Linked DNA regions of Macaca mulatta. The protein of the gene in region 1 interacts with the protein of each later gene in a biochemical or structural test. Links are inferred from orthologs where the notes say so. Each region holds a gene or a part of one and is shown in the gene's direction. Other genes may lie near its edges.

Evidence for each region. The genes of interacting proteins can lie anywhere in the genome.
Region 2: the proteins of GRIP1 (region 1) and THRA form a complex in vitro, tested with the Homo sapiens proteins (2 studies listed by BioGRID). The link is inferred for Macaca mulatta from reciprocal best matches to the Homo sapiens genes GRIP1 and THRA.
Region 3: the proteins of GRIP1 (region 1) and CARM1 form a complex in vitro, tested with the Homo sapiens proteins (2 studies listed by BioGRID). The link is inferred for Macaca mulatta from reciprocal best matches to the Homo sapiens genes GRIP1 and CARM1.

Annotation. Positions count from the first base shown.
Region 1 is NC_133416.1:74,200,306-74,204,516, reverse strand, and holds the start of GRIP1 (glutamate receptor-interacting protein 1), read left to right. Parts: upstream 1-1,404; 5' UTR 1,405-1,902; coding exon 1,903-1,960; intron 1,961-4,211. UniProt on the Homo sapiens protein: May play a role as a localized scaffold for the assembly of a multiprotein signaling complex and as mediator of the trafficking of its binding partners at specific subcellular location in neurons.
Region 2 is NC_133421.1:64,442,603-64,446,116, forward strand, and holds part of THRA (thyroid hormone receptor alpha), read left to right. Parts: coding exon 1-112; intron 113-747; coding exon 748-953; intron 954-2,836; coding exon 2,837-2,983; intron 2,984-3,514.
Region 3 is NC_133424.1:11,639,859-11,643,372, forward strand, and holds part of CARM1 (histone-arginine methyltransferase CARM1), read left to right. Parts: intron 1-3,292; coding exon 3,293-3,418; intron 3,419-3,514. UniProt on the Homo sapiens protein: Methylates (mono- and asymmetric dimethylation) the guanidino nitrogens of arginyl residues in several proteins involved in DNA packaging, transcription regulation, pre-mRNA splicing, and mRNA stability.

The DNA of each region.
Region 1 (4,211 bases):
GAAGGGTGGGCCATTTAAAGGCGACAGGTGTGATGTTCATATTGATTTTCTGGATTTTACTTTTCAAAGAGTCTGGAAAGAAGATTTGAACAGCTCAGACGGGATTTCTACTGATAACCCCCTGGGATGGTTTGACTCTGCCCTTCATTTAGCCCTTCAGTTCCTCTATCCTTGAAGCTTCTGGACCCGAGTCTCTCCATTGCTTAGGAGAGAGAGCCATTTGCTTTGGCAGCTGGGCAGTTCTGTAATGACAGACAGCCACCCAGGCCAGCAGCAGAGGCAAACGTCCTCACCCGATAAGACCGCTTATGCAGTGGCAGAGGAAAAGAAGATTCTTTCAGCCTTTTCTAGTTAATGCATTTCTCTGGCAGTATTACTATGTTTCCAAGAGGAGAGGGAGAGAAGGCCAGTGTGAGCCAATGTCCTCAATTCGGGAGAGCAAACTGCAGTTCCTTCAGAGGCCAAAATAAACTGCAGGACACCGAGTCATTCATAGCAGTGCAGTGGTTGGGCCCCAACAACCACAAACCAGTAGTTCAGCCCCAGGGGCCCTAAATTCTTCGGTCCACATCAGATACTCTGGAGGGAGAGACAGGTATTTTCTAGCCAGCCCCCAGGCTTGAGGCAGAGGCAGATGTCATACTCCACAGGACAGTCACCGAGTGACACCTGGAACACTGTCAGGAACCCCTCCTAGCATTACCGTTTTGAAAGCACAAGCAAGAGCCCCATGTCTGGGCAGAATCTTCCAGGCTGTATCACAAAGCTGGCTCCCTCCCACCTGACTCATTTTTCCACCGATTTTCTATGAACCTATGACAAGGGGAAGAAACTAATCATAAAACCTGATCATAAAACCCTTCCTATGCTTGAAGACAGCGATTACATATTCACTCAGCCAAGGTCTCCCTGCATCATTTAAAACAAAAGAGAGTCTCCATTCACGCTCTTCCCACACTGCCAGGAAACGTATTCCTGGGACCAGCGCTGACCATCCCAAAAGTTGCTATTTCCCTCAGTTGAGGGCGAAGTTAGCAAATCCGTAGCTGCAAGTCTCAACTTGGGGGAGGGGGCGACAGCCAGGGCGTAGGGAGAGCGGCGCGGAGGAGGGACTAGAGGGAAGGACACTGCCCCTTACTCCATCGAGGTCGTCGCCTAAGCCAGAGGAGCCGCCAGTTTGGGCTCTGGGAGGAAGGCGGGGAGGGAGTGGCGGCCGCGGTGGAGCGGCGTGGGCTCCGCAACAGCGGCTCGGTGCCAGGCTCGGTACCTGGCAGGCCGGGCGCGCCTCGCAGGCCGCCTGGGGCGCGGAGGGTGTGAGCGCGCGCGCCCCCTCCGTGCCCGCTCAGCCTCGCGCGCGTCTCGGGGGAGGCTCCGCCGAGAGGCGCCCAGGGAGCCCGCAACCTCAGTCCTGCTGCCGGAGGAGCTTTGTGCGGCGGCGGCTCCGAGTCCCACCTGCTGGCGGCGGAGAGACAAGGAAGGGGAAGAAGGAGGAGGAGGGGAAAGAGGCGGCGGCGCCAGCCCACTCCTCTCGCCGGCGCCCACTCCCGGGGGCTCCGCAGCCCCCAGCTCTCGGCCTGCACCGGCCCTCCGCCCCCGGCCCGGCCCAACCTCCCGGCCACACAGCGGCAGCCGCCGCTGCAGCCCCCAGACCTGCCCGGCGGGGCCCGGCCCGGCCCGGCCGCCGCCGCCGCCGCCGCCGCCCGGAGCCGCCGGCGAGTTTGAGGGGAGCGCTGGGCGCACGGCGCCGCCTCGATGTGCCCGGGAGCCGCCTCGGCGCCCCAGCTCCGCTGAACAGCCCCGGCGCGGCTACCCAAGAGGACGAGCGAGGAGGCGCGGCGAGCCCCGGAGAAAGGGAGCCAGCGAGAGAGAGCGAGCCCAAGAGCGAGCGCAGGGAGCGACACCATGCCCGGCTGGAAGAAGAATATCCCCATCTGCTTGCAGGCAGAGGAGCAGGAGAGAGGTGAGCTAGGCGGCGGGGCCGGGGAGGGAGGGAAGGGGTCCGGGCTGGGGCCGCCCGGTGCCTCCCTCTCCCCGGCTCCCTCCCGACCCGTCCACCCGCCAACGGGGGAGGGGCGCCGCTCCTTCAGGGCCCGCGGGCGAATCCAGGTGGCGTCTTGCGAACTCTGATTCTTTTTTTTGTTGGTTTGTTTGTTTTTTTTGGTGGGGGGGGTGGGTTGGGGCGGGCTGGAGGGGCAGGGGGAGAGGGGTGGTGCTGCAGCAGGGAACTTTTCGCTTGGGGAAAGATTTTTTTCTGGCGAGGATGTAGGGGAAACTCCAGCTTCTGCAGGGCCCGCTCGCACGTGGAGCTCCGAGCCGCCGTCTGTGGGGTGGGTGCTTGGGGGTGATGGTGGACAGGGAGGGGGGTTCCTGCAGTGCTTTAAGTGACTTTTCAAACTTTCCTCCACCTCCTGCGGCCACCCTCGCGCTGTCCCCGACTCTGGCTGGGCTGCGACGGCATTGTCAACCCAAAGTTGCTGGAGATTCATAAAGAAGGAGGAGGAGGAGAAGGAAAAGCGTGGGGGAGGCAAGGGGGGCGCTGCCGCAGGTCTGTGGAGGGGGAGAGAAGAGGGAAAAGGTTGTCCCCTCGCTCAGGGTCTGGGGCTGGGAGTGACTGCTTGGAGATGAGTTATGCCCCAGCGCAGTCCCCTCTGTCAGTTTAATACCGCAGGACTGCGGGCTTTTCGTAATTACTGTCTATTTTCTTTGCAAAAGGCGGCTCTCTGTGCCTGGTGCCTTGCAGACCTTTTGTGCTTCAGCTTGACAAGTGTGCTGTACACTTTGCTTTTAAGTGACTTGCGGAGAGGAAAGTTGAAGAGCCTTTTGCACCTTAAAGGTTTGGTTCTGTTGAGGTCATTTCATGGTGTTTGGATTGTGCAGAGGTTGGCCAGGGAGTTCAGCTTGGTAACCTGGATATGATGTACTGAGTGCACCAGAATTTCCCATACAGGCCCCATGGGGCTAGAGGGGTGTGTGCACGGTGGCTCTGCTAGCATCCAGAGGAACGCTGGCTGGCAAGGTCCACCAGGGTTTATCCCTTTGCTTCTTCTACCCTGTCCTGTCCTGGCTTCGAGGAAGGTGCTTTAGAATTGGATAGGTTTCAGGATGCAGGGGCTGCATGGGCTGTGGCAAACAGCCAGTGCTGAGGTTAAGTGGCGCAGCGTGGGTACGTGGGCGAGGAAAGCAGGAGGAGGCCAGTCTGGTGTGTGGAGAAGGCAGAGTTGTCAAGGGGGTTTAATCCAGCAGTTTGGTGAGCTGGTATGGATGGTGGCTTGGTTATTGGGCATACTAAAAGTTTCAAGCGTTTGAATAACACTTACTACTGAAGAACCAATGTACAATTTCCAGTTTTTCTCTAGGTGGCACAACCTGTCTTTGGTTTGTATCCTGTTTAATGACTCAGGGAATTCATCCCTTTTTAAGCACTTCCTTATTAGATATGTGCATTCATTTTCCAGCACACTTTCTGGCAGGTGACCTTACGTTTACCCATTCAAAAGGCACCCCTGCTTTGGGAATGCTTCTGCTTCTCCCTTTAGTAAATCATATCTTTAAACTTGCAAATAGCAGTACCAATAATTTATAACCAGGTAAAAGCACTACATGAAAGCATTCTGCCAAGCATGGAGTGACTGTCCTATCAACTAAATGTCACAATGTACTTGGCATTAAATGTATCAGTTTGCTTAAAAAAAATCACCATACTTCCGACAAGTTTTATCAGAATGCCGAAGTGGGTAGATTTTCGGATTGTGACAAAATGTACTTGTATGTCTTTTGGAAATATATGGTAACATTGAAAGATGATTGTCTAATCTGCTTGGTGGAGATAAGACTGAAATTCCTCAGAGCATAAAAATCTGAGTAAGAAATTGAGTGTTCTGCCTTATCTCCCCCAATAGGAGAAAACAGGAAATGTTTCTTACTTTTTGCTTTTTTTCACTTTAAAGGTTTCTTCTTTCTCACTTTAGTTATGAGATGCTTTTCTAAATAATTAGTATTTATTTTTGTTTGTTTGGTTGTAGCATTTCTTTTTGAAGTCCTGCTTCTTTTGGAATGGACAAATATATGATTTTGTTTCTTTCACAATTTCCTGTCCAACTGGTGTTTTTGTTTCAATCGTGTGTGTGTGTGTATATATATACACACACACATATATATACATATATTAAATATATATTTAAATAAACTGAGCTGCCTATGTGACTTTTAAT
Region 2 (3,514 bases), on another chromosome or scaffold:
CCCACTTATTCCTGCAAATATGACAGCTGCTGTGTCATTGACAAGATCACCCGAAATCAGTGCCAGCTGTGCCGCTTCAAGAAGTGCATCGCCGTGGGCATGGCCATGGACTGTAAGGGGCCCGGGTGGGGGGAATAGAGCCAGGTGGCCTGGGGTGGGGATGAGTTTCAGGAGGGCAGCTCCCTTCCAGCGTGCCCTCAGGGCCCACAGGGCAGAGTGGCAATCCAGTCTAGGTCAGGCTGAGGGCAGAAGGTTCAGTGTCTTGGTTCCTGCTGCCCTTCTTCCTGCGTCAAAGGAAACAGGATCCCTGTGTGGGCCCCAGTGCCTACCTGCCTTACAACACTCGAGGGCCTTAGAGGAGTTGTTTGGTAGAAAGAGCTCCTGGGCACCCACTCTAGCACATTGTTCTTGACTCCCAGCGAAGGCACCCCACTCCTAGATGAGACAGGGCATTTTCCATTGGCTGGGGATTGGGTGGCAGGATCTTGGAGTAACCACCATCACCATAACCCGATAGACCAGAACATGATATTCATCTGGATCAGCCCAAACTGTTATTGACATGGTCCCGGGGATTAATCATGATCCAGGTTGTGCTGCCCAACTGCTAGGTGATTTGGGAAGTCACTTAGCCTCCATGGCCCTCGGTTTCCCTAACCTGTACTCTAGGAAGAATAGTTTCCGGGAGCATTATGGAAAGGGGATGGAGGGTGCCATGCATCGGACCTTGTGCCTATCTGTTGACAGTGGTTCTAGATGACTCGAAGCGGGTGGCCAAGCGTAAGCTGATTGAGCAGAACCGGGAGCGGCGGCGGAAGGAGGAGATGATCCGATCACTGCAGCAGCGACCAGAACCCACTCCTGAAGAGTGGGATCTGATCCACATTGCCACAGAGGCCCATCGCAGCACCAATGCCCAGGGCAGCCATTGGAAACAGAGGCGGAAATTCCTGGTAAGGAGAAAGGGGGCATGGGGAGAGCAGCAGCCAGGTGGCAGGGAGAGGAGAGTGAGCTCAGAGTCCTGTCTCCTCCAGGAAGTCTTCTTAGTGTAATCCAACCCAAAATACATACTCTTCCCACTTTTGCTGTCCAGATTTTATACACTTGCGTTTGTGTCCTTGCTGTCTGGACCCTGTCTACTCCATCCAATTGGGAGCTCCATGAGGACAGGGCCTTGCCTTCCTCATTGAATTTCCAAGGAGCAAGGGTGACCTTGCTTCTTTTTCCTGCCCCTAGTGACTGGGAGGAGAGGGTAAGGATACAGTTATGTCACAGTATTTTTGAGTGCCTGCTGGGTGCCAGGCATTGTGTTAGGCCCTGGTCAAGCTAGTGGCTAAGTAAATGATTAGTTCAGGACCAGATGCAATGGCTCGTGCCTGTAATCCCAGCAATTTGTGAGACCAAGGTGGGAGGATCGCTTGAGCCCAGGAGTTCATCTGGGTAACATACAGAGATCCCACCTCTATGAATAATTTTTTTTTTTTTTGGTATGGAGTCTCACTCTCACCCAGGCTAGAGTGCAGTGGCATGATCTCGGCTCACCGCAACCTCTGCTTCCTGGGTTCAGCGATTCTGCCACCTTAGTCTCCTGAGTAGCTGGGATTACAGGCAGCCGCCACCATGTCTGGCTAATTTTTGTATTTTTAGTAGAGACAGGGTTTCACCATGTTGGCCAGGCCGGTCTTGAACTCCTGATCTCAAGTGATCTGCCTGCCTTGGCCTCCCAAAGTGCTGAGATTACAAGGTGTGAGCCACCATGCCTAGCCTCTACGAATAATTTTTTTTTTTTTTTTTTTGAGATGGAGTTTTGCTCTTGTTGCCCAGGCTGAAATGCAGTGGCGCAATCTTGGTTTGCCGCAACCTCTACCTCCCAGCTTCAAGCGATTCTTCTGCCTCAACTTCCCAAATAGCTGGGATTACAGGCATGCGCCACCATGCCTGGCTAATTTTGTATTTTTAGTAGAGATGGTATTTCTCTATGTTGGTCAGGCTTGTCTGGAACTCCCAACCTCAGGTAATCTGCCTGCCTTGGCCTCCCAAAGTGCTGGGATTACAAGTGTGAACTACTGTGCTCAGCCTCTCTACAGATAATTTTAAAATTAGCTGGGCATGGTGGTGTGTGCCTGTGGTCCCAGGTACTCGGGAGGCTGAGGCAGGAGGGTCCCCTAAGCCCAGGAGGTCGAGGCTGCAGTAAGCCATGATTATACCACTGCACTCCAGCCCAGGCAACAGAGCAAGACCCTCTCTCAAAAAAAAAGTGGTCGGTTTGGGAGGAGATGGACAGTTGACTCTGTGTGGTGAAGGAAGGCAGAAAACCAGCTCCTGGTTCATGGTGGAGCATGCCAGAGGGTGGCACAGTGCACTGTTAAGGGCACGGGCTCTGATTCCAAGCAGATGTATAACAGTCAGCAGTCAGACTGCCCAAGTTCAAACCCTGGTCCTACCACTTGCTGGTCATATGACTTTAACCTTATTACTTAGCTGCCCCGTGCCTTAGTTTCCACATCTGTGAAATGGTGATTATTATAATTATTCCTTTTAGGATTACGGTCAGGATGAAATAAGACATGTAAAACATGTAGCCTGATGCCTGATCATATATTAAGTATTTAGTCATTATAGCTGCTACTACTGTTGTTACCATTGTTATTATTAGCTGACTCTGGCTCTGGTCTATCCTCTGCTCAAGGTGAAGGAAAAGCTTTGGGGCTGGGACTCAGGCACTTGCGGCCCTTCTTCCCCAAGCTGCCTTGGAGCTCCCCCTGGTGGGCAGGCAGCCTCAGTGAGAGGCTGAAAGGGGTCTGCAGCCCCAGCTGACCCCTGTCTTTCTCTCTAGCCCGATGACATTGGCCAGTCACCCATCGTCTCCATGCCGGACGGAGACAAGGTGGACCTGGAAGCCTTCAGCGAGTTTACCAAGATCATCACCCCGGCCATCACCCGTGTGGTGGACTTTGCCAAAAAACTGCCCATGTTCTCCGAGGTGAGTGGCAGAAGGGAGGAGAGACGTGGTGCTGTGCTGGAGGGAAACCTTCTCCCCCGGTCACCCAGCACAGGCTCATCTGAGGCTCTCTGGACAAGGAGCAATTCCCGTAGGTCAACACACACTCAGCACACAGGCACACATGCAGACACATACACAGACACACCTAGCACACAGATACATACACACACACACATACACACACATATACACATACACCCAGCACTCAGGCACACGTGCAGATACATACACAGACACACACACCCACCACACAGATATATACACATACACACAGACACACACATGTATACATACACCCAGCACTCAGGCACACGTGCAGACACATACACAGACACACACACCTAGCACACAGATACATACACAGACACACACATATACACATACACCCAGCACTCAGGCACACATGCAGACACATACACAGACACACACACCCAGCACACAGATACATACACAGACACACAGACACACACATATACACATACACCCAGCACTCAGGCACACGTGCGGATA
Region 3 (3,514 bases), on another chromosome or scaffold:
ATCACGAGGTCAGGAGATCGAGACCATCCTGGCTCACACGGTGAAACCCCGTCTCCACTAAAAAAATACAAAAAAAAAAACTAGCCGGGCGAGGTGGCGGATGCCTGTAGTCCCAGCTACTCGGGAGGCTGAGGCAGGAGAATGGCGTAAACCCGGGAGGCGGAGCTTGCAGTGAGCTGAGAGAGATCCGGCAACAGCACTCCAGCCTAGGTGACAGAGTAAGACTCCGTCTCAAAAAAAAAAAAATTGTTGTTTTATTTTTATTTTTATTTTTATTTTTTTGAGATGGAGTCTTGCTCTGTTGCCCAGGCTGCAGTGCAGTGGCGTGATCTTCGCTCACTGCAAGCTCCACCTCTTGGGTTCATGCCATTCTCCTGCCTCAGCCTTCTGAGTAACTGGGACTACAGGTGCCTGCCACCATGCCTGGCTAATTTTTTGTTTGTTTTTGCTTTTTTGTTTGTTTGTTTTGAGACAGAGTCTCGCTTTGTCACCCAGACTGGAGTGCAGTGGCGTGCTCTCGGCTCACTGCAAGCTCCGCCTCCCAGGTTCAAGTGATTCTCCTGCCTCAGCCTCCCGAGTAGCTGGGACTACAGGCACCCGCACCACACCCAGCTAATTTTTTGTATTTTTAGTAGAGACAGGGTTTCACCATGTTAGCCAGGATGGTCTCGATCTCGTGATCCGCCTGCCTTGACCTCCCAAAGTGCTGGGATTACAGGCATAAGCCACCGTGCCCAGCCAATTTTATTTTATTTTATTTTATTTTATTTTTTTTTTGTATTTTTAGTAGAGACAGGATTTCACCGTGTTAGCCAGGATGATCTCAATCTCCTGACCTTGTGATCCACCCACCTTGGCCTCCCAAAGTGCTGGGATTACAGGTGTGAGCCACCGTGCCCAACCTTTTTTTTTTTTTTTTTTTGAGACAGGGTCTTATTCTTGTCACCCAGTCCAGAGTGCAGTGTTGCCATCTCCGCTCGCTGCAGTGTCAACTTCCTGGGCTCAGGTGATTCTCCCACCTCAGCCTCCCAAGTAGTTGGGACTATAGGCACACGCCACTACACCTGACTTAATATGTATATATTTTTAGTAGAGACAGGATTTCACCATGTTGCCCAGGCTGGTCTTAAACTCCTGGGTTCTAGTGATCTGCCCGCCTCCCACAATGCTGGGATTACAGGTGTTAGCCACCAGGCCTGACCCTAAAAGAGTTTTTTTATATATTCTGGACACTAAATACTTAGCAATAGATGATTTGCAAATAGTTCTCCTAAGAGTTTTCTAGTTTTAGCTCTTATGTTTAGGTCATTGCTCCATTTGAGTTCTGTTTTATTTGTCTATGGTGTGAGGTAGGAGTTTAACTTCATTCTTTTCTCTGTGGTTATCCAGTTTTCTTAGCAGTGTTTATTGAAGGCACTATTCTTTCCCCATTGAATGTTCTTGGAATCTTTGTCAAAAATCAATTGAGGATAAGTGTAAGGGTTTATTTCTGGACTCTGATTCTGTTCCATTGATCTGTGTCTCCATTCTTTTGCCAGTACCACTACACTGTTTACATTACTGTACCTTCATAGTAAAATTTGAAATTGAGACATGGGAATCCTCCAGCTTCATTCTTTTTCAAGATTGTTTTGGCTATTCAGGGTGATTGGGAACACTTTTGCCACATTTGCACTCACGTTGTTGTTGTGATGGGCTATTGAAAAGCAAGCTGCTGATGTCATGGGAATTTGCCATAAATCCTTCCACATATGTTTTCTAAGAACAAAGGCATTTCTCTACAAAACCGCAATGCCATTGTCACATCCAAGTAACTTAAAATTATGGCATATGTATTCCACACTCACATTTTCCTAGTTGTCTTTTTTTTTTTTTTTTTTTTTTAAGTAGGATCTCACTTCTGTTGCCTAGACTAGATAGAGTACCATGGCATCATCATAGCTCACTGCAGCCTCAACCTCCTGGGCTCAAGCAATCCTCCCACCTCAGCCTCCCAAGTAGCTGGGACCACAGGTGGGGGCTACTCTGTCCGGCTCCCCAGTTGTCCTTTATTTATTTTTTTGAGACAGGGTCTTGCTCTGTCACCCAGGCTGGAATGCAGTGGCACAGTCATGGCTCATTGCAGTCTCAACCTCCCAGGCTCAAGTGATCCTTCCATCTCGGCCTCCTGAGTCCCTAAGACAACAGGCACACGCCACCACGCTTGCCTAATTTTAAAATTTTTTTGTAGACAGGGTCTTGCTATGCTGCCCAGTCTGATCTCCAACTCCTGGGTTCAAGTGATCCTCCTGCCTTGGCCTCCCAAAGTGCTGGGATTAGAGGTGTGGGTCCGGTCTCCCCAGTTGTCCTTTATAACTTTTTAAAACATTTTTCTTGCGGCTTCAGCCCAGGGTCCCACTTTGCATCGCATTGGGCACTCCCCCCTTTCTTGTCTCCTGTACTCTGGAATAGCTCCCACCGTTTTGGTCTTTCCTGACACTGGCCTGTTTGAGGAGACCAGCCTGGTTGTCCTGTAGCCTGCCCAACAACCTGTCGTTTTCTGTTGTCCCTTGAAGATGGGACTAGGTCAAACATTTTTGCCAAGAATACTACAGATGATGCACCTGTCCCACTGTAGTGTGGCAGGCAGGGGCACAGTGCCTGATTGGGCCGGCCCGTTCCTGGCATCGCTAAGTTTCACCATTTGGCTGGAGTGGAGTGACCACAGGTTTGTGGAATGAATGACTAGTAACAGCTATCATGATGGGTACAGGGAGACAGTGTCATGATTCACTAGACAACTGCCCTGCCATTAGCCCCATCTGACGGTGAGAACCCGAGTTCCAGAGAGGCTGAGGGACCTGCCTGTGTCACAGTGAACAAATGGCATGGGTGGGGTGTGAACCCGGTGGTCTGGCTACACTGGCCCCATGCAGTCACTGCACTGCACCCATCCAAGAACAGAAGGGCTCAGCCGAGTGGAGCAGAGGCAGCTCCAGCTCTGAGGCCCTGTGGGTTGGCACCGTGCCTGGTGGCCCTGTCTGCCCACCTCAGCGTTCACCGTCTCCCTGTCTCAGCCCTGGTCATCCTGAGGACACAGACTGTATCCCTGCTGTCTGATCAGCCGCTCCCTTGTCCTCAGTGTGGGCTGGGCAGGCAGCGCACCCGGCATTGCTGCCAGGGTGGTTTTGTGGCACTCTGGAAGAATCTGGGGGCACCAACGGCAGGCAGCAGGAGGGCGTCAGGGACCCGGGATCAAAAGAAGGCAGCCGACAGGGCTGTACTGCTCACGCCAGCCTATCTTCTCTCATAGATGAAGATGTGTGTGTCTTTAAGTGCTCGGTGTCCCGAGAGACAGAGTGTAGCCGCGTGGGCAAGCAGTCCTTCATCATCACCCTGGGCTGCAACAGCGTCCTCATCCAGTTCGCCACACCCAACGGTACGTGCCCCTGCTTCCACTCCAGTGACACCAGCCCAGAGCGCCCAGAGCCCTGGTGGGCAGGGGCATGGAGCCTGGCTAAGGAGCGGCCCATGC